Linked DNA regions of Canis lupus familiaris. The protein of the gene in region 5 purifies or fractionates together with the protein of the main gene of each other region. This does not show direct contact. Links are inferred from orthologs where the notes say so. Each region holds a gene or a part of one and is shown on either strand. Other genes may lie near its edges.

Region 1 (3,805 bases), on a different chromosome or scaffold from region 5:
AATAAAATCTTTAAAAAAATAAATAAATAAAACCACGGACTCCCAAGCCTCAGTCATGAGACCAGCATCAACACTTGTTCGGTTTCACTGGATACATCCGACTGTTCACTTCTGAGCCTTTACAGAGCAGGGCTGACTTGCGTTCTGAGAACCAACCTTCGGTTTTGCCCAAAAGGACACTGAACAGCCAAGACAGCTACTGCTTTACCTTCCTTTTGGTGTTACAGAAGATGACAGCCTGAGTGATGGTCAGCGTGTCGTAGAGGTCACACAGTGTGTCAAATTTCCACTCTTCCCTCTCCACCGCCACAAAAAACTGCTTGATGCCTTCTAGAGTCAATTCATCACTGGAAGATACAGACAAGTGCTGTGAACTCATCCGCTCACCGAGACCTGAGGGCGCACACAAGCCGAGCACTGCTCCTAGCCTGGCCCACGGCGGCCCCCGCCGCTCCCGGCCGTCAGCACTCCCGCCATTCGGGCCACATGCTGACCTGTCTGAGCCTTTAACAGCCACTAGGTAGCCCCTGTTTTATGTATTTTACCCCCACAACACAGACGGACAAACACCATCAGGTGGTGTATAAATTTCGAATTACTGGGCCAAGGGGCAATACACATATGTAAGCTGGTTTCTCAAACCAGAAAACAAAGAATTTTCATGTTTTAAGCTTAAATACAAGCTACGTGGCTGTTTTTGTACCACCCAGAAGCAGGGTGTTCTTACCGCTTCACCAAGATGCGGATGGGGTCTGTCATGAACTTGTTGGTCATCTCCAGGATTTCGTGAGGCAGTGTGGCACTGATAAGCACCACCTGCGTGGCCGGGGGCAAGTACCTGTACACATCGTAAATCTGCTCCTTGAAACCTGGACACAGAAGGAGGCACAGGGAGTCTGAAGGTTGCACTTGGACACAGAAGTGACGACTGTGAGGTGTGAGGTTTCCCCAGGAATCTTCCACAGAACCAGGAAATCCACGTGCCCCACTTCTCTGCCGCTCCTCACCCCTCCCCTCCCAGGTGGGCTCTGGGGATCACAGCCCCACCCGGAGGCCTGGGTGCCAATGCTTAAGAGCAAAAGAACCCCAGCCCTGGGTCATCCCACGACCTCGGCTGCCTCTTGGCAGTCAGGACCCCAGTCCCAGCTCCTGCCACCCTGTGAGGATCTGTCCGCTGAGGAAAGATCACCCACATTTAAGAGAATCCAGGGATCTGGATTTTTATAAAACAATCTTCCAGTTAAAAAAATCTTCTATATGTATATACGGAATCATTACAGTTGTGTACTAGAAACTAATGCATCACGTGTCAATTATACCTCCATCGTTGGGACCTGGCCCACAGGTCACTCACCCCACCCCCATCTCTGCCTGACTGGGCAGGACAGGGCCAGGAAGTATGTGTGAGAAAGCCCAGACAAGGGGGTCCCCAGCCTCCAAGAGAGCCCATTCACAGACTGAGGTTGTAACCAAACATCAGAGCCCAAGATCTGCATTTCTAACAAATTCCCAGATAACGTGAACCCTGGTGGTCTGGAGACCTCACTCTGAGAACTGCTGCCCATGGGACAGGTGCACAGGAGCCACCAGCAAGCCATGGCTTCCTCAGACACTAAGGAAGCCACCTGAGTGCCCCAGTCACTATGCCTCTCTCTCAGCTGAGGAGCAAAGTCTTCAGGTGAGAAGCCCTGGGCTGGAGGGGCGGGGGGGCAGCCCTCAGGACAGCATCAGCCTCCAGGGACCTGGACATCAGAACCATTGAGGGTCCCACCCGTGCAGCAGATGAGCACTGAGAGGCAAGCACTCCCTCCACCTGGATGACCCCGATGTCTATGAGACACCCCATACCCCCCAGTATGATGTGGAGACCGAAGGGGAGGGCGTGTGCAGAAAGGACAAGCGGGGAGACACGAGGGAGCACTGCCTGTCGCTGCACGTAACAATGCCCCGGGCTCAAGGTACATCTTCACGATGTATTTCCTCACCGCTGGACTAACGCCACAGCTGCCACACAGAGAGGCATCACAGATCTGTCCTCAGACACTCAGGTAGAAACAACATGAAAAGCCTAGAAAGTACACGTCCCAGTCTAGAAATTTATCCTATTAACTGGTAAAAGAGTAAAATCAGCCTAGACAACTAACAGGACAACTAGTTAAATAAATGACAGTCTCTAGACAATGGGACGCCCCGTTGCCATAAATCTAGCTTCCCTGACACACCGTTGTGCCCCCCACAACCCACAGTAGGCATTTCTACACGCCTCATCTCAGCCGCACACCTCCCCATCTATGCTGAGCTCCAGACATGTGGGAGCAATGCTGCGCCAGTCTGGGCGGAGATGCTGTGGTTCTGGCCGTGACTGCTCTCAGCTCCCCAAGAGCCAAGTACAAGCTTCACGTTCACAGCTGCCCGGAGAGCACGAGGGCATCTGCTAGCACCGAGAACACTGGCGTTAGCTCCATGTTTCAGCTCCACGATGTGAACGTGTTAACATTAAAGTCAAGAGAAAATCTCTGCTTTCGTGACTCCTACCTTTATTTAACATTTCATCAGCCTCATCCAACACCAACATCTTGATGGCCCGTGTCCTCAAACTCCTGCGCCGAATCATATCTGTGGAATCAGTTTGATATCCTTAGACCTCGGACCACGAGGAAACAGCCAGCCATTCCCCCTGGTTTTCAGAGCATTTCTGAGGCCTCTTGCCTACTTCTTACATCACTTGCACGCAAGCGCTACCACACAGCACAGCAAATGGAAACGGTCCTGGGTCCTTCAAGCACTTCTTGTAACGCCCCAAGCACTTACCAAAGACACGTCCAGGTGTGCCAGCAACAACGTGCTGCCCGTAGTCCAGCTTCCTGATGTCCTCTCCCACATTGGTGCCCCCGATGCAGGCATGGCACTGCACATTCATGTAGTCCCCCAGAGCGAGCAGACCCTGAATTAAAACAAGGGTCACGTCTGGGGCCTCACCTCAGGACCAAAGTCAGAGACCTCCAAGTTTCCCCAAAGTGAAGGTAATCTCTACTCCGACATACCAAGTACTACTTATTCCATCGTTTACACCATAAAACTACAAAAAGACCCAACCTCCTGCTTCCATGCCAAAATAAAGTTCACTTTACTGGTTTCTTATGAAAGAAATACATTTTAATTACAAAAAGCCCTGGAAATACGTAAAACTCATAATTTTAGCCACTCACAAACAATTCTAACAACATCTTAATATAAAGTACAAAAATAACTACTAAAATGATTTCTTTGTTGAAAAAAACTACAATTCTGAGACTGCAAAAAGATACTGGAATCATACCAGCTACACTAAAAATGACTCAGTAAAAATGACTCAGTATAAACCAACAACATAAATCATAACAATGATTTATGCCAAAAATCAGGAAGTAAAATTTGAGGGAAAAAAACAGGATTAGATTAAATCAACCAGCCAACCTTTTACACCTGAATCAGAAAGCAGCACTTGGGAATACAGCACTAACTCTCAGTGGCTCACCTTCTGGATCTGCACAGCTAATTCTCTCGTTGGAGCCAAGATCAAAGCCTGGGTTTCACGAACCTGGTAAAATAATTTGTCAGAAAACAGAGAATCCTCAGTATTCTCAAGGCAGACTGCACGAAGTCAGATGCAGATCTATCTTGAATGTTACATCGCATTAACCATACATCTCATTTCTAATAGAGACAAAGGAACCTGAATGTAAGTTCATGTGTGAACCCAGTCATCATGGGGTTCACTGGGCAGAATTCTTGCTTGGCCACTAAAAGAATGCCCACTAAAAAT
Region 2 (3,961 bases), on a different chromosome or scaffold from region 5:
GCCCAATAGTCCTGTGGACATGGAGAGTTTAGAAACAGAATAATACTCTACCTCATTAAACAAATTAAAATAGCAACGGGATACCATTTTTCAACTAATAAATTAGCCAAGATCAAGAATAATATGCATCATGGTGGAGGGGGGCAGTGCAAAGAGTACCATAATGTGACAATGCAAATCAAAAGCCTTAAAAATGTGGGTACACTTGACTCAACAATCCCACTTTTAGGCATAGATCTTAAAAATAATGATACAGTGAACAATTTATGTATGATGGTACTAATGTGTGTTTATAAAAATTAAATTTAAATTTCAGTGGCAGGGGCACTGGGTGGCTCAGTGGGTTAAGTATCTGCTTTTGGCTCAGGTCATGACCTCAAGGTCCTGGGATCAAGCCCCATGTCCGGGACCCTCCTCAGTGTGGAGTCTTGCTTCTCCCTCTCCCTTTGCCTGCCATTCCACCCTGCTTGTTCTATCAAATAAATAAATAAAAATCTTAAAAAAATAAGTTTCAAGTGCAGAGGACTTGTATCAAAGAAATGGTTCATATGATGGAACATTTTTAAAAAATTAAGCTGTTGGGGCGCCTGGGTAGCTCAGTTAAATGTCTGCCTTCAGCTTAGGTCATGATCTCAGTGGCCCGGGATTGAGCCCTGCATCCAGCTCTCGGCTCAGCGGCAAATCTGCTTTTCCTTCTTTGATCTCTCTGCCTCTCTCTCTCTCAAATAAATAAAATTTTTAAAAGAAATCAAGCTGCACAAGATTTTTCATTTTTAAAAGGAAGATTTATTTAACAAGTTTCACTTAGTACAATACATCTAATGGAAATCACAATACAAGGAAAGGTTTAAATCAAAGTCTCAGAATCTCATACAAACAACATGACCAAACTCCTAAAGTATTGGTATTACATCTCAAAATTGTCCCAGATCTTTAAAAAAGTAAAAGTGTACACTCACGTGCCTTACAGGATATTAAACCAAAAAGCTAGAATTAACAAACATGCCAAATGTTTTCACTTTGAATCGTAGACACAGCTCCTATATTTGAGTTTTACAGAAAAGCATGTTTCTCAACATGCATCCAAAGTTTTCAAGGTATTGTGGTATAAGAGCAACATTTAACATAAGTGAAACTGCTTTAACCTAAATAATGCTTACTGCTTAGGTATACTCCTACAATGTAACTAACTTGAGGAAAGCTGAAAATTGTTTTAACAGTTATGGTCAATACTGAACGTTGTTATTACACCCTAGATGAATGTTTCAGTGTTCAAAATTACTGAGCTTAAAGTTGTAAAACCTTGACTTCCACTTTACAGTAAGCATGAATCACAAGCCTGTAATGCAAAACTGTTAAACTTAACTTTTGTTTTCTTAAAAAAAAAAAGGAAAGAATGAAAGAACGAAAGAACGAAAGAACGAAAGAAAGAAAGAAAGAAAGAAAGAAAGAGGAAGCTGACCAAGAGTGATCAGAATCAGTATTTCCCATTTACCAATCATACTGGATATACTAGACATCCCTCCCATTCTACAACTCCCATAAATGCAGAGATTTTATTTTTGTAATAGCTGTTTAGTATTGTTTACTTAAGCGAGGTTTGACTGATAGTCACTGGAGTTTTCCTGCAGCACTTGGTCATATCCACTCATACTGCTCTGACCACCGTACCCACCTCCATAACCCCCGCTTAGCTGCTGGCTGGCAGGGCCCCCATAACTAGATTGGTTGGATAAGCCCATTCCTCCCATCATTTGACTACCATATGCACCACCACTTGCCCCTGCTGTAGAATTCAAAAAGAGTTCTACATAGCTGTGATCATAAGCACCCCCACTTGTTCCTGCAGTAGAATTCAAGAAGAGCTCCACGTATCTGTGTTGCATATTAGCTTTGTCTTTTGCCATAGCTGCCACAGCATCTTCATGGGTAGCAAATTCAACATCTGCCTCACCAGTAACTCGGCCATCGGGTCCAATTTCAATGTGCACTCTCATGGGGTTAAGAGGTGAGAAAAAATTGTAAATATCATTCTCAGTGGCTCTGTAAGGTAATCCCCTCATGTGTACACAGTGCCCTGTGGTGCTCTGGAAACTGGACCCACCATCTCCATATCTATGGTCAGACATCCCTGAAAAACAGTAATTGAGGTCTCTTCCAAATCTATCAGACCCAAAGCCATAGCCATCATTATAGCCACCATAGTCATCATAGCCTCCATACCCTCCACCATAGGCACCACGCCTCATCCTTTCAAACCCAGTCCCTCTGCCAATACTATTATACCCTCTGCCAGCCCCTGGCCTATCATAAGGACCTGGCCGCTGCATAGCCATGAGCTTTCGCGGGGGGTCGTAGTGGGTTCGGACTTCAGCTCGGCTACTCTTGAAGATTTCAATGTACCTATGCCCTATTCTTTCCTTGTGTTTCTTTAAGGCCTTTTCAGCTATCTCCTGCGAAGCAAACTGCACAAAGGCCTCCCCCGTGCTCCGCCCCTGAAAGTCCACCGGCAGTGTCATCCCATTTGGCACAATTTCCAACCCTGAAAAGAACTGAACAATCTCTTCCTTGCTACAGCCAAATGGGAGTCCTCTAAGCCGGACGAAGCCATCGTTGGCAGTATCAGGACTATTCGGACCTGTATGCTTCAACACCCAATCCATTTCAACACTGTTGGACTTGAACACTTCAACGTATCTGTGTCCCATGGTTTCTCTGTCCTTCTTCAATGCCAATTTCACTTCATCTTCGGATTCAAGTTCGACAAACGCTTCACCACTTGGTCTGCCTTCTCTGGTATAGATGAAACGAATACCTGATGTGCCGTTTTGGATCTTGCAATCAGAGAAGAAGCGCATCACTTCATCAGCTGAGCAGGACCAGGGTAGGCCCCTGACCTTCACCACGAACCCCTCCCTGCCTTCCGTGCTCAGCATCATGATGATTGTTGGGCTCTTGGTGGCAAGCTTGGCTCAATGCAGTTTCAGTGTAGCTAAAAAAAAAATTAGAAGACTATTGTCATGGAAAAATGTTCACAACATAGTAAGAGAAAAAAGCAAACCAATAATATAAAACTCAAACGGATAGCTTTGTTCTAAAATATTCATATAAATAAAAAGACTGCACCAAATTTTTAATTCATTCATCCAAAGATTATTTACTCAATACCTATTATGTGTTGAATACCGTTAATAGTGGTTATTTCTGGGCAGTAGGCTTATGGGAACTTTTTTATTAAAGGAGTATTTTCTTTGGACATTTCTATGTTTTAGGTTTTCTATATTGAACATATATTAACATCATAGAACACAAAAGGCATAAAAAATCAGCAGCAAAATCACTGGAAGCTGTGAACAAATACGAGATAGCTATACCTGATTACATAAAAATGAAAAACTTCATTACATCAAAGGTAAGATTAAACAGAATTAAAAGACAATACACTTGAGAAGACACAACAGTACATTAATATCCTTATATAATGAACTCATGCCAATTAATAAAATCAAGGAAATATTAAGGCCTAAGCAATAAATGGGAAAAAGACATTAAGGGTGATCATACATTCATTTTATATTTTTCAACTGGCAAGTCCAGTACTTGGCTTTGGGATACAAGGATCAATAAACCAAGAAAGGGTTTATAGTCCTACAGGGGCATTATACATCTTTACTAAAGGCAAAAGGGCAAATAAACATTATTCCTGCTATGACAAAATTCTGTATAGCGTGAAAAGGTGGTATAAAACAGGGACTAGTTGGTCAATTCTAACAGTTGGCACAGAATTGTTTAAACAGACTCACCAGTTCAAGGATCCACAAATAAATTTTTAAAAATTACAATGGAGCATAAAATAGGATGAGCCCAGGCAAGAAGTTAAGGCTGGCAAGGTAGAGAGTAAGATCCCAAAGGCCTTACTTGATAGACAAACGTTAAGAGTCTTCTAAGGGTTTTAAAACAG
Region 3 (3,805 bases), on a different chromosome or scaffold from region 5:
GTTAGTTGATGTATTAAAAGCTCCATTTAACGTAAATTTTCTTTTTGCAGGGGCCGTGGTGTTGGACCACCTCGGGGGGCTTTGGTGCGTGGTACCCCAGTGAGAGGAGCCATCACTAGAGGTGCCACCGTGACTCGAGGAGTGCCACCCCCACCTACGGTGAGGGGTGCTCCAGCACCAAGAGCACGGACAGCAGGCATCCAGAGAATACCTTTGCCTCCACCCCCTGCGCCGGAAACATATGAAGAATATGTAAGGAGTTGGAACAGTGTGCTGTTTCCCAATACCTAGAAGGTTGCCAAAGTTGAATGATAGGGCGTTGGCCTTTGACATAGGTGGCAGGGACAACCTATAAGAGATCTGGAGTCAGTCTCTTCTCTTGCAGTGAGCATTAAAATATGAGAAGATTTTTTCCATTTTAAGCAGTTTACTATGTGTGAATAGATTAAACAGGAAATAGGCTGTACCTTGATATGTATAGTCTTTTAGTAAGGGGTCTTTTTGCTAGTACTACTGATAATTCTCAACTTCAACTGTTTACCTTGTTTCCTGCCCACAATTTGAAAGATGATTTGGTTTGGTTGGTAGTTCAGTTTTGTTTCGTTTTTTAAAAAAATAACCCTTTCTCTCTCAACAATTCCCCAGTGAGTGTAAATTTTGGAGGGAAGTTTTGCATTGTTAATCTGGGAGTCTGCCATCCTCCTATGAGTTGTAATTACCTTCCCTACTCTGTGTGATTCTGACTATTTCATTTTATTTGTTCCAGGGATATGATGATACTTACGCAGAACAGAGTTATGAAGGCTACGAAGGCTATTACAGCCAGAGCCAAGGGTAAGTCAGGCAATAGAAGTGCTGTTTCGTGTCCTAGGGATGGATGGGAGGGAGTTTGAGCAACTGAGAGATTTAGGTAGGACACATCTAAGGAGCAGCGTGGCTCCCTTTTGGAAAGTATCGCCTTTACTTTCCATATCTGTAGGGCACACAGATCTATAAGCTTAGATAGCTGTGAATCTTAATTTACAGTGTAGAATTTGGGAATAGCAGATGGAAAATTACTGAGCTGTGACCGCATGGAAATGAAGGGAAAATGCCATTAAATTGTTTTGATGTATTCTTGTCACATTAAAAGTGCATTAAAGTTTAAAAGGAAGCCTAGAATCTTACTACCATAACTTGGGTTGTTTTGTGCACTCGTCTTAAATAATAATGTTTTTGTGTATACATATTTTGTCTGTGATTGATTGAAAAGTGTCTCATAATTATACAGTGGGGACAGGAACAGCATGTTTGTTTATTCTCTTCCAATGAGCCCTATAAATGTGTGTGTGTACACTATAATTAAGATGGTCAGTTTTGGATTATGCTCTCTCACTTTAAATTATGTGGCATCCATCTTTGCTATGGTTATCAATTTTTTTTTAATAATTACTAGCTCCTTAAAAAAAATAATTACTAGCTCCTATATGTTTTGAAATGTTTTCTGGTTTGGAGATGGGGCAGAACGAGCATTTTCCTGTCTTCCACACCTATTAAAATGACTGAAATGTGAGAGGAATGAGAAATGGAAACAAGAGTTACTCTAGCTCTCTAACGCTCTGTCTTTGGCTTTCAGGGACTCAGAATATTATGACTATGGACATGGGGAGGTTCAAGATTCTTACGAAGCTTATGGTATGTCTTTATTTCCATGGTGGGCAAAGTGTGCAAGTAAGTGCCTGCAGGAATGCTGGTGACTCAATTATTGGGGGCCACCAGTCACATACTGAAAGAGGAGCTTTTAGAAAGCTGAGATGTTGGTAGATGTGACAGTAGCTGTCCTTCTCTTATTGAAATTGTGTGATGTGGCATAGAAAGAGGAGCTCTTAAGGTGAAATGGGGTACTGTTACTCTTGGAAGGCTAAGTAGGTATCTTAAACTAGGGCTCAGGTCCAGCTTGGTCTGGTTGGAGCAGCAGACTTTTAAGTTGATGATGATCTTTTTCTACGTTAGACCAGGAGAGATGGCCAGGCCTAGGTCATGTTGCAGGGCCTTTGCTGCTGGTGCCTAGGCCACATTAGTAGATAATAAGAACTTAATCATATCTAACTTTATTCTCCAGCCCCACTTCATTTTTAGCAACGATTTTGGATCTCATTGAAAAGAATCTCAATGTAGAGGAAATGTTAGCTGAAAGAGAACGAGACGGCAAGTAGCTAGCCAAAAGCAGGTTGGGTGCAAGAAGAGTGCCTATCAGCCTCAGATCTGAGGCTATAAGAGCTAGAGCCAATTCAGCTCCTTACTTGCTTGGAGACCTCTCAACTCAGTCCCTGATCCCAAAGGACCTATAGAGGCTGGAATGGCAGTAGGACCAAGCTGTCTTCCCTGAGGTTTAGTTGAAAACACATTGCTCAAGAGTGTCCTCAAGAGCCAATTATGGCCCTGTGTTAATGGGCCCCAGAGGGAGTGCCATGTGGCAATGGGTGCAGAGAGAGCAGCCTTTTGAATGCAAGGATTTTCAACATACTTGAGGGAGTTCCAGAGTGCTTGGTGAGGGGCTCAGTAATTGACAGTTCATCTTAAGACGCTAGTAAACAGTCTCTCCTTACCCCTAGCTGAAAAGGAGGAGGTGGGGAGCCTCTTAGAGCTCCCACTGACAGACAAGCTGAGCTTTACTCCTCAGCACAGTTATGTAGTAGCCAGTCAGCTGCTTGCCTAGAGAAATGGTTTTTACCAATTCTAGCTAAATGGTACTGGACAGTTGCCATCAGTAATGCTGCACTGCTCTGAGGCCACCGTTTAAAAGGGCAGTGGGATTGCCCTAGGGCATTCCATCCATTGGTGAGGCGGCACAACGGGGCCTCTGTATGTGTTTGACTAAATTACATTTCTGTTTTGCCAGAAAAGAGACTGGACTGAAAGAGTCAGACTGCTTCTTTTGCTCCTGGTGTGATGTTGCTGCAGTTAATCTGTTATGATTTCTACCTTTTATAAACAGAATTAGAAAAATAAACTGTCTTGTTAGTACTAGAAGCCACTTGGAAAGTAATGGATGTACCTATCATACTAAGGGTATAAATAGGCTTGCATAGGGTTCTGTGGGACTGCGGGTCCATATAGAGGTTTTAGACCTGTAGAGATGGAGGCTCATATTTGTGAATGCAGGCAGCTGGAGAAATACATTGGGGATGAACTGGCATAGGTAAAGTATGGGGGCGAGTGGGAAGAATAAGCTCATAATCCCAACTCCTGTTCATAAGAGGTCAGCTGTAGAAGTAAGGGATCATGTCCCTCAGGCTTTTCCCTGTATCAAAGGAAAACCATTTGAGGATGTCAACCACGTTATCTGGCTTCTCTGGACTACTGCATGAGAAAGGAAATCATGAATTCTCCATCATATCAGTGTTATGAATACATTCAATTGTACTTCCCTCCGCCAGAGCAGTGGACCAGCTCTGCTGGTGGGGAGGCCTCATGAAATGTGGCCCTTGCTTGTTCCTCCCAGAGAGCCAGAGGACACTTCTTAACAGGGAAACCTGACTTACTGGTGGAAAGGGAGGCCACCTGATTTCCAGTCTGAAAGACCTCGCAAAGTTGCCACATTACCCAAGACTTTCTGCCAGATGCTTTTGGGAACGGGAAGAAGGACATTGTGGACCCACTGAGATTCATCTCCTTACTGTCTCAAGCAAGGTGTTGGTTTATCCAGGTTTGGGGGTTGGAGTAGATCATGTTGCCAGTGGAGAACCTCTTTGCTGAAGATGATTCCAGGCCTTTTCTGAGCTGTTTCCTTCTGTCCACTCAAAATTGCCCCGTTCCAGAAGGC
Region 4 (4,361 bases), on a different chromosome or scaffold from region 5:
AGAGAGGCTCATAATCAGGCCAAGGCTCTAATCTTTCTTTCAGGGAGGCTCTCAAAGATTATTGCATTGTTGGGCAGCCCGGGTGGCTCAGCGGTTTAGCACCGTCTTCAGCTCAGGGCCTGATCCTGGAGACCCAGGATGGAGCCCCACGTGGGGCTCCCTGCCTGGAGCCTGCTTCTCCCTCTGCCTGTGCCTCTGTCTGTCTCTCTCTCTCATTAATAAATAAGTAAAATTTAAAAAAAAGGATTATTGCATTGTTGATCAATAATGAACAGGGAGCCCCTCGAAGGGATCAAAGAGCCCGTGTAGCTTGAGTCTCTCTTAACGGACTATATAAACATATCTTCTTGGACCTGGCTTCACAGTCCCTTAATTCTGAAGCACTATTTTTTGTTACCGTTTTAATATTTGCCTCAGATTGGCTGCTTGCATTCTCTCTCCAGAACCACTTTTCTACAGTCTGCTATGATGAAGTCATTGTGGAGTTTTGTGGGAACACCTACCTGATTTTTGTAGGACTCATTTTCAGTAATTTTGCTTTAATTTTCTCCTTGTACATTTTCACCCCCTCTAACAGCTCTTCCTTTCACTTTTCCCATTTTTCTTTCCTAGAATCAGCTTTTGACAAACTGCTTTTTACTGTCATCCGCTCATAATCTGCCACTGCTCCAAACATTCCCTTAATTTAACCAGTGATTTTAAAATAATCTGTTCTGTGAAACCTGTGATGAATGCCTTGATCTCATCCTCTTTATAAAGAGTCTCCAAAAATTAAAATGGTGATAATTACTAACTCCAGAACACATCAAGAAGTCTCCACTGCTCTCAGGCTGGGAAGCCATTTCCACCCAGCCTTTAGTTTCAGGTGTTCCCTTGGGTCTTCTGGGTCACCTTCAGAGACCGGGGACTCCTCAGCCCAAGTAATCAACATGTGAGCAACCTCAGTGAACATGTTACTCCTTCCCTAAATTCTGCAATCGGAGCCGCCTTTATCCGTCTCGCTGTTTTCGGTTCCCTATTTTCTCCTTGGCAGGAAATTACTCTTTTTTTTCTCTCACGCTGATCTTCAATACCGGAGTCCTTGAGGTCCCGGTTTAGGGGGGGAACTCTCCCAGTCAGCATCTCCCGGAGCTCAACGCTGCCGCGGTCAGACCCTCCCCCGCCCTGAGAAAGGGCTGGCGCGAGGCAGCGGCTCTCCTCTCCACAGCGTCCCCTTCCGCAGGCCCCGGCCCTGCCCCGCGCCCCGCAGACCAATCCCTGGCTCCGCCCCGGGAGCGGCACAATGGCGCCCTCGCGGCCCCGCCCCTGGACGCACGCCGCGGAGGCCCCGCCCCGCCCCGCCGCGCTCCTCGCGTCCTTCCGGCTCCGTGGTGGAAGTAGCCCTTCGCCGCGTCTTCCTGGAGAAGAAGGTGGGGTTCCGCGGGGAAAGCGGCCGGCGGTCACGCCAGCAGCCGGAAGTGGGGTGGGGGCGCGGGCTCTCCGGGCAGCGGCCCTCGGGTGCTGGGGTGCGGCCGAGCGGGGACTGGGCGAGCCCGGAGCAAGCGGGCTGCGGGAAACGCCGCGTGCGCCCGACGGGCGGGAGTTGTGCGCCGGGGCCGGCCGCGCGCCAGGCCCCGCCCCTCGGGGCCCCGCCCAGGGCGCGCTGCCAGGGGTTTCCATGGTGATGGTAAACAAGCCTCAACTGCCTCAGCTACAACTGCCAAGTTCCCCGCGTTCCACCCTCCTCTAGGTGCTCAGAGGGACGATCGAGGTGCCGGATGTGAAGAGCGGGAGCGTGGAGACCCGGAGCCCGAGGTGAGGGGCGGGACGGGCGGCGGGTCGGAGGCTGAGGGCCGCACCACTGGGACGGACCGAGAACCGGGCCCTCTGGGCTGGGGGCGGCGGGGCTGGGATACGGATTTGGGGGAGGCTAGGTCTGAAGTCAGGGGCCTCACCCACGGGGACCGAATGGGCATTGGGCACGCAGGGGCTGAGGGTTGGGGTCGGGAGAGGCAGGGGCTGAGGTCAGGGACTGGGCCCCCTGGGGCTGAGAATTGGGGTCACGGAAGGTGGGGTCAGAAGTCCACGGCCGTAGAGTCGGGGACTGGACCCCTGGACTGAGATCGCGGGTGCGGGGAGGCAGGCCTGAGATCAAGAGCCATCCCCTCGGGGACTGGACCGCTGGGCTGGGATTCAGGGCCGCGGGAGGCAGGGAGGGAGGAAAGGCCTGGTGCGGCCTCCGGGGTTAGCAGAGCTTGAGCGCCCTGCCAGAAATAGCGCGAGGGCACCTGACGACCGTGGGAGAGGGGCTTCATTTAAAAATGAAAGCAGTACTTTCACGTGGTTGAGTTGCACCAGACTGGTTGGCAACTGACTCCTCCCCCCTCCCACGTTCCCGCTCGCTGAGCCTCCACTTTCGGTCTTTGAGGCCTTTTCTTCCTCTCGGTGTGGCGTGTGAGTGCCGAGCGCCGGTCTCCGTTTTGTCTCCTGCTTTTAGAGGTATTGTGTCTGGTTTTTGGGTAGAAACTCTTTGGTTCTCGTTATCTCTGCCGGGTGACCACACTTACGCGGAGCGAGCTTAATCGGCCGTTTCTTTTTCCCTTGCCCTTTATTTCTTTGTATCCTTGAATGTATTTTTTGCTGGTTCTTGACTGCGCCTAAGAAACTTCTGGACTCTGCCGGCGCTTGCGCTGCGCCCTCTACCTTCGGTGTGCCCGCGTGGGTCCCTGAAAGTGGCGCCGGGCGGCCTGGTGACGCCGGCAGAGTCCGGGGACTCGCCCGACCCCGTCTTTTATAGACCGGGTTAGGAGGCCACAGGCCCCTCCCTGTTGGTCTGTTCCCTTCAGGAGCTCTCAGGTTCTCGCCGGACAAATCCCCAGACCCCGGAGAGCCCCTTCCCCAGCTCCAGCAGGAACCCCCTCCCCCGCCGCCCCGCGTCCCTCGGGCCGGGCCCGCCGGCCGGACTCTCCTCGCAGTAGTTCCCTTCCCCCGAGGCCTCAGGACGCAGGAACGTGCTTCCTTTAGCTCTCACAGCTACCTGGGGGTGTCCGGGCTCCTGTCTGCCCCGCGGCCGCGTGCGTGGCGGGAGCGGGGTCCGCGAGCTACGGCTCGCTGAGTGGGGGGAACCGCCCGCCGGGAAGGGGGCCCCCGAGGTGCCCAAGGTTAACGCCGCGCCTCAGGTCTCCGGAAGTTGGTGGCGCTGGAAGAGCTCTGAACACTTCAGATACTCTTTCAGTTCAAAACGTGGTCGAAATTCCCTATCTTAAATGTAATTCTATTACTTACAGTCATTTTTTTAAAGGTTAACGGTTTCTGAATTTCTAGTAAGAATGAAAATACTTCGGGTTCTCCGGTTAGACAAAAAAATGCGTTGGGGTATGTCAGTGAAAAGTGATGTTTTCAGTGTTAATTTCTAGTCAAGATTCTTCATTTTGAAGTGAGTAAATTTCTACTTATGAAGTTTGGGAGAGGTTGCTGATGTTACTAATTACTGGTCTTTAAGCAAGCCCATCTTTAGTCATCTCTTGTGCCTGTATGCATTTCTGTAATTTGATTAGATTTATTACATACTAGGTCTTTTTTATTTTAGGTTTTAAAATAATTTTTTAAAAAGATTTTATTTATTCATGAGAGGCAGAGACACAGGCAGAGGGAGAAGCAGGCTCCTCACGGGGAGACCGGGGGAGACCGATGTGGGACTTGATCCTGGGTCCTTGGATCACGCCCTGAGCCGAAGGCAGAGACCCTCAACCGCTGAGCCCCCCTAGGCGTCCCTAGTTTTTAAAATTTTAACATTGTTTTTGTGGTATTTTTTTGGCAATTTTTAAATTTTATTACTTTTTAAATTTTTATTCTTGAGAGACATAGACAGAGGGAGAAGCAGGCTCCACACAGGGAGCCCCATATGGGACTCGATCCCGGAACTCCAGGATCACGCCCTGAGCCAAAGGCAGACGCTCAACTGCTGAGCCAGCCAGGTGTCCCTGTAATTTAAAAAAAAAAATTAGCAGGTGACTGGTTTTCATTTAAAAGTCTTGCTACAGGGCAGCCCGGGTGGCTCAGCGATTTAGCGCCGCCTTTAGCCCAGGGTATGATCCTGGAGACCTGGAACCAAGTCCCACGTTGGGCTCCCTGCACGGAACCTGCTTCTTCTTCTGCCTGTGTCTCCGCCTCTTTCTCTGTGTGTGTGTGTCTCATGAATAAATAAATAAATAAAATCTTAAAAAAAAACAATGGCCTTTATCAATGACAATTTGCTCTCCTTTAAAAAAAATAAAAGTATTGCTACAAAGCTTCCTGTAAACATAAAATATTCAGGTAAAAATGTGAATTGATTTAAGTGAAAAGATTGATCAAAATAGGTTAGTCTTCAGATATGGCCA
Region 5 (4,552 bases):
CAGGCTGGATCTATCAACCAAGTGCCTAAGATCCCAAAGGAGTCATATACTAAATCCTGCTGGAAACTAATCTAATTCTGATTAAAGGCACCACTATCCACTTATCCATCTATCTTATTTGGGAGTGAGGCGGCCCCAGCTTAAAGCTAGGAGGAGGTAGCATTAGCAAGCCCATTAAAAAATACCATGCATCGTACCACATGATGCTTTTTAAGAGCATTAAATCCCCTTAGGGACATAAACTCTAAAGGGCTAATCTAGCTTTTGCACCAAGTACTTGGATCACTGGATACCTACCACTACCACCGCCATAGCCGCCTCCGCCTCCTCCGTTGTTATAGCTGTCATAGCTGCCACTCCCGCCATAGCCACTGCCCTGGTTTCCATAACCCTGTCCACCACTTCCATAGCCTCTGCTTCCTCCAGAGTAACCAGGGCCGCCTCCTCCATAACCACCTACAAGAATACAATTCTTCTCAATAAGACAAAAGTATTTCACAGTCAAAACCTGTGCAAGTGTAATGCCTAAAAGCCTGCTCACAGCATGCTGTTATCAGAGCTGTTTATCATGCACTAGTTTAGCTCTACTAACCTAGTCTAAAGGTTGCCAAACGAAACTCCACCTATATATTCCTTAAAATAAACTTACCGTCATTACCAAATCCGTTATAGCCATCCCCACTGCCACCATATCCACCACCACCTCGACTGCCACCGAAGCCACCTGAAAGAAAGTAGAGTTTTAAACCACCATGAAGTGTACAGAGTATACGTGTTCTATGTTGTTTTAAAGTAGAATTCTATAAAGATACTTCCTGTGCTACAAAAATGATCCCAATGTTGATGATTTAACTTTCTGGTTAGTAAAAAGCCAGATCTACACTTGGATAAAATTTAAGCCAGGAGTTAATCTGCTGCAGAGGAAAAAGGGACCTGGGGATAATCAAAGTATAAATTTATTGTTAACTTTGAGTGGTAAACTTACCTCGACCACTGAAGTTCCCTCCACGACCAAAGTTGTCATTCCCACCAAAACCACCTCCACGACCACCACCAAAGTTTCCAGAACCACTTCGGCCTTAAAACACAAAAGTTTTAAATGTTACATTATACGGATTGGAGAATCACTCAGTTAATTAATCCTCACGTGCAAGGATTAACTGAACAAACGCACCTCTTTGGCTGGACGAAGCACTAGCCATCTCTTGCTTCGATAGGGCTTTCCTTACTTCACAGTTGTGGCCATTCACAGTATGGTATTTTTGAACTAAAAAAAAAAAAAAAATTCCAAGAGAACATGACCTCAGGCTTTAGAACGTAACATGGATTTCAGAAGCCGTAGCAAAGAGCATGCCCGACACTTACTGACAATCTTGTCTACAGAGTCGTGGTCATCAAAGGTCACAAAAGCGAAACCTCTCTTTTTGCCACTGCCTCGGTCAGTCATGATCTCAATCACTTCGATTTTCCCATACTGTTCAAAATAATCTCTTAGATGATGTTCTTCAGTGTCTTCTTTAATGCCACCGACAAAAATCTTTTTCACAGTTAAGTGGGCACCGGGTCTTTGAGAATCCTATTGTTGGGGGGGGGGACGGGACGGACACAATTCCGTTATTTACACCGACCAAGCCACCCCTAACCGCGAGGTCCCCTTGGCGGCCCGCTTCTGCGTCTGCCCAGGAAAGAATAAACCCTCACTCACTTCTCGGGAGACAGCCCTCTTTGGTTCCACGACTCTTCCGTCCACCTTGTGCGGCCGGGCGTTCATGGCCGCGTCCACCTCCTCCACGGTGGCGTACGTGACGAACCCAAAGCCTCTGGAGCGCTTGGTGTTGGGGTCTCTCATTACCTGAAAGGTGAGCTCCCTGAATACTGAGGAGAACCCCGGAACTTCTCACGCTGAGTTACAAATTAAAAAAAGAAAAAGAAAAAAAAAAAAAAAAAGAAAAGCGCGCCCCCTCCCCCCCCCCCCCGCCCGCCCACGAGGCCCTCCGGCTCCCCGGGGCCGCCACACGTGCATCTCCTCCCGGGAGCGCCTCCGCGGCTGGGACCACCCCTTCCGGCGCCGGCCGGCTCTCCGCCCCAGTCCCGTTAACCGCCGTCGGAGCGGCGGAAGCCACCTCGCTCCCGGGCCCTCCGTCTCCGGCACGTCTTACCACACAGTCCGTAAGCGTCCCCCATTGCTCAAAATGGCTCCTCAGACTCTCATCGGTCGTTTCGAAGCTCAAACCTCCGATGAAGAGTTTCCGCAGCTGCTCGGGCTCTTTGGGAGACTAGGAGCGGGGACACAGCTCGTTACGTGGCGCGCCCAACGCCCAGCCCCGTCCCGTTGGGAGGAAAATCCTAGACAGCAGCGTTACAAGGCACGTATTGTTCCCTCGGGTTACGGGAGGCCACGTGCTTCTCCCCTCGGGGGGGACCGAGCGGTGGGGGCTGGGAGGCCGCGGGCGCATGCGCCCCGACTCTCCCTCCGACGCACGCGCAACAAAAGGACTCGGCTGGACGGACGCCGAAGCGGCGGGGAACTACGGCTGCTCCGCAAGAAACTCGCTCCCGGAGACACGATCAAACAAAACCCGTCGAATGCGCCCGCGAGTTCTGCCGGGAGGGCGCAGCCCGGCGCCACAGCCAAGCGCTGCAGGACGGCGGCCTCATGGCGACGACGAGGACAAAATGGCGACCTCAACTTCGGGAGGGGAAGGCCCTGGCGGCCCCCGAAGGGCTGCCGAACGGGCTGGCGCGAGCGGCCACGCCAGGCCGCGTCCTACCGGCCCCAGGGAAGGAGTGAGGAAGGAAACTAGGCGGGAGACAGCGTGTTACTCACCTCTGACTTAGACATGACGGCGGTGGGAGGGGAGACTTTAACGATGCTTACTCGGCGGCGTCCAGGGGCAGAAAGGAGTAATCTAACGAACGTATCTGCCAGCCTACCTTCGGCCTCGCTTTTTTATCCCGCCTCCTCGCTTTAGGCATTGGTAGACTCCGCCCCTGAGCGTCTCTGATTGGATGTTTGCGATAGCCTCCCCCTGCTATTGGTCTATAGCCCCGCACTGCTGCGCAACGTCATCCGCTTGGGCGTTCTACGCAGGCTCCGCCCCTTCAGGTCTATTGGTTCCCGGGTAATATTATTCCTAATTACTGTGATTGGCTCGTCAACCAGTCATTCATATTTGAACGAACCTAAGGTATTTAAATGAATTTTCAATCCATTCCGCCCCGAAATTATGTTCCGCTCAGTTGGCGAAGCACGGTAAATGCTAATATATTACGAACGAGGTTATCAGGTGATTTTTTTTTCTTTTTTTTTTTTTTTGCAAACGACCGCCCGCCGGGCGCATGTGTAGTAAAATGGCGAGTTTACGCAGGCGCACTAACCAGTTCCGCTCGGCGCTTGGAGCACGTGAAATGGCGGGCGGGAGACGGCGGCGACTCTACGGCGCCTGCGTCGTGGCGGGAGTCGCGCCCCGCTCTGCGCAGGCGTAATGGGCGGAGAAAGGGTCCGGTCGCAGGATTGGCCGCGCAGGCGCAGGGAAGGATCCGTTTTGGCGGGCGGTTGGCGTTGCGCAGAAGGCGGCGGCGGCGGCGTCCCGTGGTCCGGCCTCGCCACAGAGGAACAGGGGAGGCGTTGGCGCGAGTGGCCGGTCTCGATTCCGGGTAAGCGGCGGATCGTCTCGCCTACTCATACGAGGTGTTGAACTGACTCCAATTGGGCCCGTTATTGTGTGAAATGAATGGAGCGCGGGGTGGGGGCTCGTAAAGGGGGAGCGCTGGGTTCAGCCAACCAATGGACGGCGGGGGCGGGATGTCTGCCGGCCGGGAGTGCCGTGGGGCTCCGCGGCCCGGAGTCTGACTGGCTTGCGCGCGGGCCAATCGGGTCCGCCTTTGCCGCCGACGGACGGGCCCTCGGGCCCTCGGGACGTGGGGGCGGGCCCTGCGCCCTGAGCAGCGTCCCGCCGAGCCAATGGGCGCCGAGCGCGCCGTAGGTTGGGCTCCTCGGAGGCGGCGGGCGGACTCCGAGGGGGAGGCCCCGCTGTGGAGCCGGCGGCGGGCGGCCTGCGGACGGCGCCCGGGCGGGTCGCCCAGTCAGCGGTGCGGAAGCGGGAGGCCTCGCTGCGGGCTGTGGAGGAGCGGGCGGGAGGGCGCGGGGGCGCGGGGGCGCGCGTTCTCTCCACAGTGGCCGCCGGCGCCCGGCGCTCGGGCCTTCACCCCACACGCGTTTCCGGTAGGGAGACCCTGACTCTGTGGCGTGTCGCTTCGGCTTCGGCATAACCGCTCCACGCGCTCGCGCACGCGCACGCGCACACGCACCCCGGGGCTTCTGGTCGCCCCGCGCGTGGAGGCTCCCAGGGGAGCTCGGCCGGTCGTCGGGAACCCGCTTGGCCGGCAGCGTCCGCGCGCATCGGAACAAGAGCCGCTGCCGTCGCGGACAGGCGCCGACCCACGTGTGCGCGGAACGCCGCGGCCTTCCCCGGACCGGTGGCGGATGCTCGTGAGCCCGCAGGAGAAGTGTGGGAAGGGCCGCCTCCCGCCGTGCGTCCGTGTCCAGGGC
Region 6 (3,805 bases), on a different chromosome or scaffold from region 5:
AGTCCTTCCTTATCCTACTAGCACCAAATTTGGGGGGACAGTAGCAAGGTGGCCTTTTGTATTGCTACCCTTCCTACTGAAGGCACCGACTCTGACTTCAACCTGTCCCCTCACCCTTCCTCCCTTTGTGCCTACCACCACCATCAAGTTGCTGAAGAGCCACTTACATTTCTCACAAATATCTGGCAGGCCTTCCTGGCCACCCCAGGAGCATGGCCTCCAGCTCCGCCAAAGGAACCTGCGAAGCTTCCTCCAAAGTTGCCACGCTCCATCTCGATGGCGCGGTCAAAGCTGGCACCGCCACCGCCACCCATGGCCAGGCCCATACGCTCAATGCCAGCACCTAGGGCTGGACCCATGGCAGGACCCATGCGCTCCAGGCTGTTGGCGCCCATGCGCTCCAGGCCCATGCGCTCGAGACTGTTGGCGCCCATTCGCTCCAGGCCCATTCGCTCCAGGTTGTTGGCGCCCATGCGCTCCAGGCCGGTGGCCATGCGATCCATCACAGGGCCCATGCGCTCCAGGCCAGCCCCCATGCCTGCGGGCACCATGCGCTCCATGCTCAGGCCCATGCGCTCGATGGCAGGGCCCATACGCTCTACACCAGAGCCCATGCGCTCAATGGTCTGGCCCACGCGGTCGATGGGCGCGGCCATGCGCTCAAGGCCAAAGCCCATGCCGGCACCCATGCGCTCCACGCCAGAGCCGATGCGCTCCATGGTCTGGCCCATGCGCTCGATGCTGGAGGCCATGTGGTCGAGGCCCAGTGGGCCCATGCGCTCGATGCCAGAGCCCATGCGCTCAACTGAGCCCATGCGGTCCATGACCAGGCCCATGCGCTCAATCTCGGAGCCCACACGATCCATGCCATGGCCCAGGCCTGCGCCCATGCGCTCCATGCCGGCACCCCCAATGCGGTCAATGCCAGGGCCCATCCTCTCGATCCCAGGGACACTGCCTCCACCTCCACCTGGAACAGGGACACAAAACAGAGGCAGGTATCAGGGACTTGCACACTTGTGTGCACACCATGCCAGGAGGGTGACCTGGGTGCAGAGGCTTACACTTCACAAGCTCAAACACAGTTCAGGAATTAAGTCCCACAACAATTTACCATTAGACATCCCTCAAATGTCAAGGCTTAACTGTTGTTAAGGCAGGGTAGTGAGGACATTGTTCTTCCTATTTCTATGCCACAGCTTACATTTCCATAGTAAAATTTTAAAAAGGGAGAAATTCTACCCTGGAGGACTGTGTCAACAACGTTCTCCACCATTACTTCGGAAGCCCTAGTACTTCTAACTAGCTTTGTGAGCCATGGTTGTCAATTCCCAAGAACTGTGAGGTCTCCCCACCAAATGACACTGAGAAATGCTCTCAAAGCTCAGAAACCCCACCCTGAGTTGGTCAGTCTGTAAAATGGATTACATGGATTGTATGTGACAATTCAAATCACTCACAACCTTTACCCTCTCCCAGCTTGTCCCTCTCAGATGCCCTGCTGATGGCCAGTCTGGCTGCATTTCCTTAGCACCTCCAGGCATAAAGAAGCTAGTATACAGCCATGTAAATAAGAGTAGATAAAGAAAACAAACACCAATATAGACCCTCTATGTCTAGATAGACAGGCACTTCCAGGGAGCCTTACTCTGTGAGGAAAACCACCAAATAACTTGTGTATAACTCTGCTGGCTTTAGAGGAAAAGAAGTCAATGGCATTGCAGAGTAGATTCTAGAAGAGGTCTAAGATCAATTCTCGATGCCATGGTTTAGCTGGACACATGCTTTCGTGTCAGCAATGCAGTGACCCTGTTTTGCTGGTAACTCTGTAGAAGGTGGGGCTGGCTCCACCTCCAAGGCCACTGCCCACCACTTTTCCACATTCAGAGCCTCTAAGGGTCCCTTCTCACTCAAGCTTCGCCATCACCACTGCCACCTGCCTCTAAAAAAGGTCAGCTGAGTCCACAGCCAGCCCATTAGTGACCCAAGCAGCCCAGTCCAAGATGTAATTGAAGAAAAGGAAACTCAGAAGTTTCTGTGAGTCTCTGGCTGACATCACATGTCATTCCACTTCTCCATTTCCTCAGCTGAGTAACAGCACACCAAGTGGCAAAATATAAAAATTTAAGATTAGTCTTTTTTTGGGACACCTGGGTGGCTCAGCAGTTGAGTGTCTGTCTGCCTTTGGATCAGAGTGTGATCCCGGGTTCAGGGATCGAGTCCACATCAGGTTCCCTGTGAGGAGCCTGCTTTTCTCTCTACCTATGTCTCTGCCTCTCTCTCAGGAATAAATAAATAAATCTTTTTTAAAGGGGGGGGGGGGGAATATTAGTCTTTCAGAGCAAAAATTTCTAAAAGTATTTAAAAAAGCAAGATACTAGAAAGGGCAGTAGCATGCTCAAGAATATCATTAATCAGGCTGACCCCCTGGATGCCAACAGCAACAGAGAACAAGGGGAAAACGGTGCCCACATGGAGTTCTAGTATCACACACCACAGAAATAACCAGCAAGTGGAGCTACCAAGGAAATGCCAAGACACTCAGAGCCATGGGGAAGTGAGGCATTCAAGCTGGAAAAGTTCATTTAGTTTTAAATACCCATTTTTTTTAAAAAGTGTATTAATGAAAAGATATTCCCAAAATGTTTACAACACTCATCACTGGGTAGTGAAATTGCAGGTATTTACTTACTTTATAATTTTCTTTTTTTTTTTTTTTACTTTATAATTTTCCAAATATTTATGAGTACATGTGTATAGCTTAGTAAGCACTTGTTAGATTTGGAGGTAGTATACCTTTTAATCAGGTATTTACTTTTATGAATTTACAATTTTACAGTATTTAAAACAAAGGCCCCAAATTACATGGAATTATAATAACAATGGCTAATGCTTACATATAGCACTTATACAAATATTTTTTTCTATGCATTAACTCATTTACAACAACCCTATGAAGTAGGTACCATTATAACCCCATATTACAATATGGAAAACAGAGAGGTTCAGTAACTTGCCAAATGTCACACGCTAGGAAGAGACAGAGCTGGTTCCCACCCAGGCAGTCTATTTTAGAGCCCATGCTTTTCACCACTACACTCTTACTATCCCCAGTAATAACAACCTATTCTAAAAATCAAAACATCAAAACTAAGCGTTTCCTACCTCCTCCCTGCTTTGCAATGATCTCTCCTCTCTTCAGTGCATTACTTAGGATTTCTAAGGAAATCAGGAAGAAAAAAAAATTAGCCAAATTTCTCTACGATAACAGAAATTTGTTTAATACAGATTCCAGAATAAGAATATTACTAATTTAAAAATAAAACAAGGAAAGGGGGGAGGGATTAAGAAATACACATATAGACAGGATAATTTTACTGGAAAACCGTAAGAGTCCTTGATGATGGGTCATGATTCTAGGTTCCCATGTAGCTCCAGAGTCTGAGGCCCAGTTGGCAAGACCATCTGGGAATGCGCCCAGCAGAGCTAAGTAAAGAGTCAGTATGCACCAATGAATTGAACTGCGAACATCAGAGCAAGAATGGGGGTGGGGGGTAGCATAGTTTTCTAAAGCTGATCCAGACCCTCAGTACTCAAACTGAAGCCTGCACACACCCACCAGATTCGATCAACAACTCACGGTTATCTCTTAGCAAACTCAAGCTATGGCTGTACTGTCAAAGTCCTGAAAACCAGCAACAATTGCATGCAGTGCTGAAGTATGACCTTACGAACAAGTCATGCACGGAAAGACTCCAGCATGTGGAGCCCACCAGCCCCACCTGGAAGGAGCTGGGTGTGACAG
Region 7 (3,805 bases), on a different chromosome or scaffold from region 5:
CTAGCTTATGTCACTTTGGAAAAGAGCCGTTTGTTTCCGTTCTTACTGTCTTTATCCCAAGGATGTATAGTCAAATACTGTGTTCAAAAGTTATAGGTCAGTACTGTAGGTTTGTAGTCATTTTCATCATAAAATACATATTTGGATTTCTTCAGTTAAAATTTTGCTAGCAGAATTAATGTTGAATAAATGTTGTGTTTGTACAATCAACTGATAGGAATCTGTGAGAACAAGCACATTAGAGCTTTTGACTCCTTTGGTTTTAATGCCATTAAAATACCTGGAAAAATGTCATTGGGAAAAAACTAAAAAAAAAAAATTTAAACTATTTAGCAGTCTAGTGTGTTTTACTTTATTATTTCTGTAATACATCATTTGAAAGGAGGAAACTGGTCCAATTTCAATAAGACCAAAAACAACACAATGAGAAATATATTGGCTGATAATTCCTATAAACTATTTCCTGTTTCTTTAAAACAATATATAAACAATATATAAACAAAATATATAAACAAATCTGTTTGGAGGGTTTCTTAGTGACAGTTCATGAAACATTGTAGTTTTCCTTCAACATGGGTTTGTTTTGTTTTTGTTTTTAAAGACAAACCTGTTATTTAAAAACGAAACAATTTCCTTGGCTGGTGGGGGTAGTGTTGAATTACTGTGATATAGAATAATACCTTACTGGGAAGAAGCTTTATTATTTCAAGAATTCAATTTCAGATTGTATTTGTTCTTGTTTGCTTCTCTTGCTGCAATGCGTGCATTTTCTGTCTTACCAGATAACAGAACTGTTGTATAAGGATGGACGTTATTGCCAAGAGCCTCCAGGACCAACGGGTAGCGTTTCAATTTCGATGATTGTAACTTATCCACAAATCCATTCTTCTGTGTAATGATGGGCTAGAAGGATTACAGCAGTAAACATTTTCTTTTTGAAAGTGAAATTTGAAAACATTTGGTTATAAATCTTTATATTGATAACCACAACATTTTGAGATCTCTGAGGTGTTTGGTTTTATCATCGTAATTGTTTTACAGACAGGATTGGAGGCTTTTTTTCTGTTTGAAGAAAGGAAATGCTTCGTATAGCACTTAGGAAAATAGACTTAAAGATGAGTCATTCTTAGTGTTTGTTATTTTAATGTTTTGCAGGTGTGGCTAATTTTAAATAAAAGAGATCTTTAATCTTTAGGCTTTTCCCCCACTTAAATGTAATTTATTATCCAAAATATAGTATTTTGGCATTTAATGATTTTTATTTTCCATATAATAAAGCCTAGAATATATGGTTTTCAAGAAGGTACCCTTCTTGAAAGTTCAGATTTTCTATCTTAGGTATTAACACATGGCCATATACATTTTATGCTTGAATGCATAGGAAAATTACTGTTGTTACAAAACATCTTTGTTAATCTTGGTTTTTCATTGGCTAATAGGCAGCTCTCCACAGGATTACTGTATCTACTTATTAAAATTATTTAACTTTCTATACTCAACATTTGACAGTTGTTCCTAATTTTATGTGTTCCCTAAATATTGCCCACCAAAAGATTAGTGCAGAAATGTGTACAAGGCATTTATTTATTCTTCCTCCTTGTGATTTGGACAGGAAAGGGGTAAGGCCTTGGGCAGGACCACTTCTGTCACAGAGTGGTGGAAAAAAATAGATTGAAGTAAGATTCAGTACTGAAAAGCTGTCACTCGGTCTGAAAATAATTAATATTCCTTTCACTCACCAGTTAGATATGTGCTCCCAAACCACATAATCTCTATGCCTCAGTGATCAGTGTTGCCATTTCAGAGCCTCTCATCAGGGTGACATCTCACACCAAAATGATTTCTTATAAATTAATCTTGATAACATGACAGTCTCAGTAATTTTAGTGGAATGCTTTCTCTTGTTTTTTTCCACAGAAGCTGTTGGCTATTTTCTTTATAACTTGATTGACAGCATGAGTGACTCAGAGGTACAGGCCAAGGAGGAGCGTTTGAGACAATACTTCCATCAGCTGAAGGAGATGGTACCATTTCATTTTTTGCTATATAATGCCTGTCCTGTCTGACATGTATCTATTAGATTTGAAATTGCTGCTTTTAAGTACAACCAGACCACTTCTCAATGACATACACGAGTTGGAGACTTAAATTATGTCTGAGATAATTTCTGTTAGACAAATTTCAGTTTGGTTGTCTAAAACTCAGGATTTTTTTTTTTTTTTCTTCTTTCCCTTTGTACAGAATGTAAAAATTACTGAAAATCTCTACAGAGGCATTCGTAATCTACTGGATAGCTACCACGTTCCTGAATTGATTAAGGTGTGTGTGAAATAGTAATCAAAATTTTAAAAAATACTTAATTTATATATAAAAGCATGTTAAAATTGTATTTAGTATGATGCTTCTGGCCAAAAACCGTTTACTTAAATGACAACCATTAAAAGAAGGTTTTTCATTGATGGTTAGTAAATACTGTTTATATATTGAAGAATGTGTTTAAAATATTTTTTACAATGGTTAATGAAGTATGAATAGAATTTCTGGAAGATTTTGAAAAGATAGAAAAATAATAAAATGAGCTGAAACTTCTAAAATTCCTTTTGACATTGGCTAATATATTTTTCCATGTGTTTTCTAATTTTAATTTAAATCTCAATTTTAGGATGTTAATATATTGGTTGATAGAGAGAAGATTGACTCTCGAAAAGTAAGTAGGTTCTACATACTATAACCACCACATTTAATTACAGAGAATTCTAGCTTGGGTCCTTATGAACCCAGTGGTTCCTAACATTTTTGTCATCTGCATACACCTAAGAAGTTGATAACAGCTGTTCCTCATCTCAGAAAAATCAGCATATCTAAGAAATTTGCATGCGTATCTCAGGAGTTTAAAAAAATCCCTGGAGTCCATCCATGGATCCCCAGATTAATGACCTTGATAGCATTTATACTTCTAGGAAAGGTCAGTTTAAAGGGAAGAATGACAAGGGGCACATTTTCCTTTTGTAGTGAATTACTTTCCTTTTCCTGTAGACTATGCAGCTGCCATCATCTGTTTTGGAGACTACACTTGAAAAACTAAAAGCTGAAAATCAACCTATAGGAGATGTTCTAAGGCAACTCATACTAGCGCTTTGTTCAGAAGAGGTAACGTTTGTTTAAATATTTCAAATGTGCTATTAAGGTAAAAAATTCTTTATAGATAAAAGTAAGCGAAGCCACATATAATATTTATGATTTTCACAATTGATTATTATACGTCATGCATGTGAAAAGTGCAATTAAATGAAAGGTTAACTAATTTCAGCTACACCTTGAATGGCATGTTTTCGGGTTGCTGTAGTTTGTTTACGATAATCTGCAAAGTGAATGATAGTAACAGCCGTGATAGGTTTATCATACATGCCAAATGTCCTTTCAAGCCATGGCTCCGGTCTCTTATATCTAGATTGTCAAGCAACTGATACATGCAGTAGTCATTTGCAAGTCAAATATTACTAGGTTGTTAATGCAGGGATTGAAATTCCATTTTCCTGCTGGAAAAAAGCTCTTTCTGAGATAAAGGGTCTCTTGCCTTTTTTTCAGCAGGCGTCCAGCTGTACTTTGTGTTCATTTTAGTGTGTGTCTGCAATTTGTGGTATATCACTAGACTTTTTCAGTTTCTAGTTCAATATGATTTGGTTGTATGCCTGTGTTTTTAGAGGAAAAAAACATAACTGACGTTAAGATTATAACATGGTACTGTTGAATTCTAAAATATTTCTTCACTTTAGTTGGATATTAAATTAGACTGTGAGTAACT

What was found.
Region 1: the proteins of HNRNPA1 (region 5) and EIF4A3 purify together in Homo sapiens (co-immunoprecipitation; 4 studies listed by BioGRID and IntAct, with this or other methods). This does not show direct contact. The link is inferred for Canis lupus familiaris from reciprocal best matches to the Homo sapiens genes HNRNPA1 and EIF4A3.
Region 2: the proteins of HNRNPA1 (region 5) and HNRNPH2 purify together in Homo sapiens (affinity purification with mass spectrometry; 3 studies listed by BioGRID and IntAct, with this or other methods). This does not show direct contact. The link is inferred for Canis lupus familiaris from reciprocal best matches to the Homo sapiens genes HNRNPA1 and HNRNPH2.
Region 3: the proteins of HNRNPA1 (region 5) and KHDRBS1 purify together in Homo sapiens (co-immunoprecipitation; 4 studies listed by BioGRID and IntAct, with this or other methods). This does not show direct contact. The link is inferred for Canis lupus familiaris from reciprocal best matches to the Homo sapiens genes HNRNPA1 and KHDRBS1.
Region 4: the proteins of HNRNPA1 (region 5) and HNRNPF purify together in Homo sapiens (affinity purification with mass spectrometry; 3 studies listed by BioGRID, with this or other methods). This does not show direct contact. The link is inferred for Canis lupus familiaris from reciprocal best matches to the Homo sapiens genes HNRNPA1 and HNRNPF.
Region 6: the proteins of HNRNPA1 (region 5) and HNRNPM purify together in Homo sapiens (affinity purification with mass spectrometry; 6 studies listed by BioGRID and IntAct, with this or other methods). This does not show direct contact. The link is inferred for Canis lupus familiaris from reciprocal best matches to the Homo sapiens genes HNRNPA1 and HNRNPM.
Region 7: the proteins of HNRNPA1 (region 5) and LRPPRC purify together in Homo sapiens (affinity purification with mass spectrometry; 3 studies listed by BioGRID, with this or other methods). This does not show direct contact. The link is inferred for Canis lupus familiaris from reciprocal best matches to the Homo sapiens genes HNRNPA1 and LRPPRC.

What each region holds. Positions count from the first base shown.
Region 1 is NC_049230.1:2,448,273-2,452,077, reverse strand, and holds part of EIF4A3 (eukaryotic initiation factor 4A-III), read right to left. Parts: intron 3,581-3,805; coding exon 3,518-3,580; intron 2,945-3,517; coding exon 2,812-2,944; intron 2,617-2,811; coding exon 2,536-2,616; intron 870-2,535; coding exon 728-869; intron 348-727; coding exon 209-347; intron 1-208. UniProt on the Homo sapiens protein: ATP-dependent RNA helicase. Involved in pre-mRNA splicing as component of the spliceosome. Core component of the splicing-dependent multiprotein exon junction complex (EJC) deposited at splice junctions on mRNAs.
Region 2 is NC_049260.1:75,730,634-75,734,594, reverse strand, and holds the end of HNRNPH2 (heterogeneous nuclear ribonucleoprotein H2), read right to left. Parts: exon of another isoform or gene 3,804-3,961; intron 2,993-3,803; 5' UTR 2,940-2,992; coding exon 1,590-2,939; 3' UTR 764-1,589; downstream 1-763. UniProt on the Homo sapiens protein: This protein is a component of the heterogeneous nuclear ribonucleoprotein (hnRNP) complexes which provide the substrate for the processing events that pre-mRNAs undergo before becoming functional, translatable mRNAs in the cytoplasm. Binds poly(RG).
Region 3 is NC_049223.1:68,522,366-68,526,170, reverse strand, and holds part of KHDRBS1 (KH domain-containing, RNA-binding, signal transduction-associated protein 1), read left to right. Parts: intron 1-50; coding exon 51-252; intron 253-766; coding exon 767-834; intron 835-1,615; coding exon 1,616-1,674; intron 1,675-3,805. UniProt on the Homo sapiens protein: Recruited and tyrosine phosphorylated by several receptor systems, for example the T-cell, leptin and insulin receptors. Once phosphorylated, functions as an adapter protein in signal transduction cascades by binding to SH2 and SH3 domain-containing proteins.
Region 4 is NC_049249.1:3,803,364-3,807,724, forward strand, and holds the start of HNRNPF (heterogeneous nuclear ribonucleoprotein F), read left to right. Parts: upstream 1-1,321; 5' UTR 1,322-1,409; intron 1,410-1,723; exon of another isoform or gene 1,724-1,729; 5' UTR 1,730-1,794; intron 1,795-2,333; exon of another isoform or gene 2,334-2,478; intron 2,479-4,361.
Region 5 is NC_049248.1:45,637,689-45,642,240, reverse strand, and holds the start of HNRNPA1 (heterogeneous nuclear ribonucleoprotein A1), read right to left. Parts: upstream 3,096-4,552; 5' UTR 2,843-3,095; coding exon 2,828-2,842; intron 2,277-2,827; coding exon 2,160-2,276; intron 1,853-2,159; coding exon 1,706-1,852; intron 1,577-1,705; coding exon 1,366-1,576; intron 1,268-1,365; coding exon 1,175-1,267; intron 1,079-1,174; coding exon 986-1,078; intron 725-985; coding exon 650-724; intron 457-649; coding exon 298-456; intron 1-297. UniProt on the Homo sapiens protein: Involved in the packaging of pre-mRNA into hnRNP particles, transport of poly(A) mRNA from the nucleus to the cytoplasm and modulation of splice site selection.
Region 6 is NC_049241.1:53,435,715-53,439,519, reverse strand, and holds part of HNRNPM (heterogeneous nuclear ribonucleoprotein M), read right to left. Parts: intron 3,220-3,805; coding exon 3,166-3,219; intron 971-3,165; coding exon 168-970; intron 1-167. UniProt on the Homo sapiens protein: Pre-mRNA binding protein in vivo, binds avidly to poly(G) and poly(U) RNA homopolymers in vitro. Involved in splicing.
Region 7 is NC_049231.1:47,443,077-47,446,881, reverse strand, and holds part of LRPPRC (leucine-rich PPR motif-containing protein, mitochondrial), read left to right. Parts: intron 1-782; coding exon 783-840; intron 841-1,917; coding exon 1,918-2,024; intron 2,025-2,241; coding exon 2,242-2,319; intron 2,320-2,662; coding exon 2,663-2,707; intron 2,708-3,036; coding exon 3,037-3,150; intron 3,151-3,805. UniProt on the Homo sapiens protein: May play a role in RNA metabolism in both nuclei and mitochondria. In the nucleus binds to HNRPA1-associated poly(A) mRNAs and is part of nmRNP complexes at late stages of mRNA maturation which are possibly associated with nuclear mRNA export.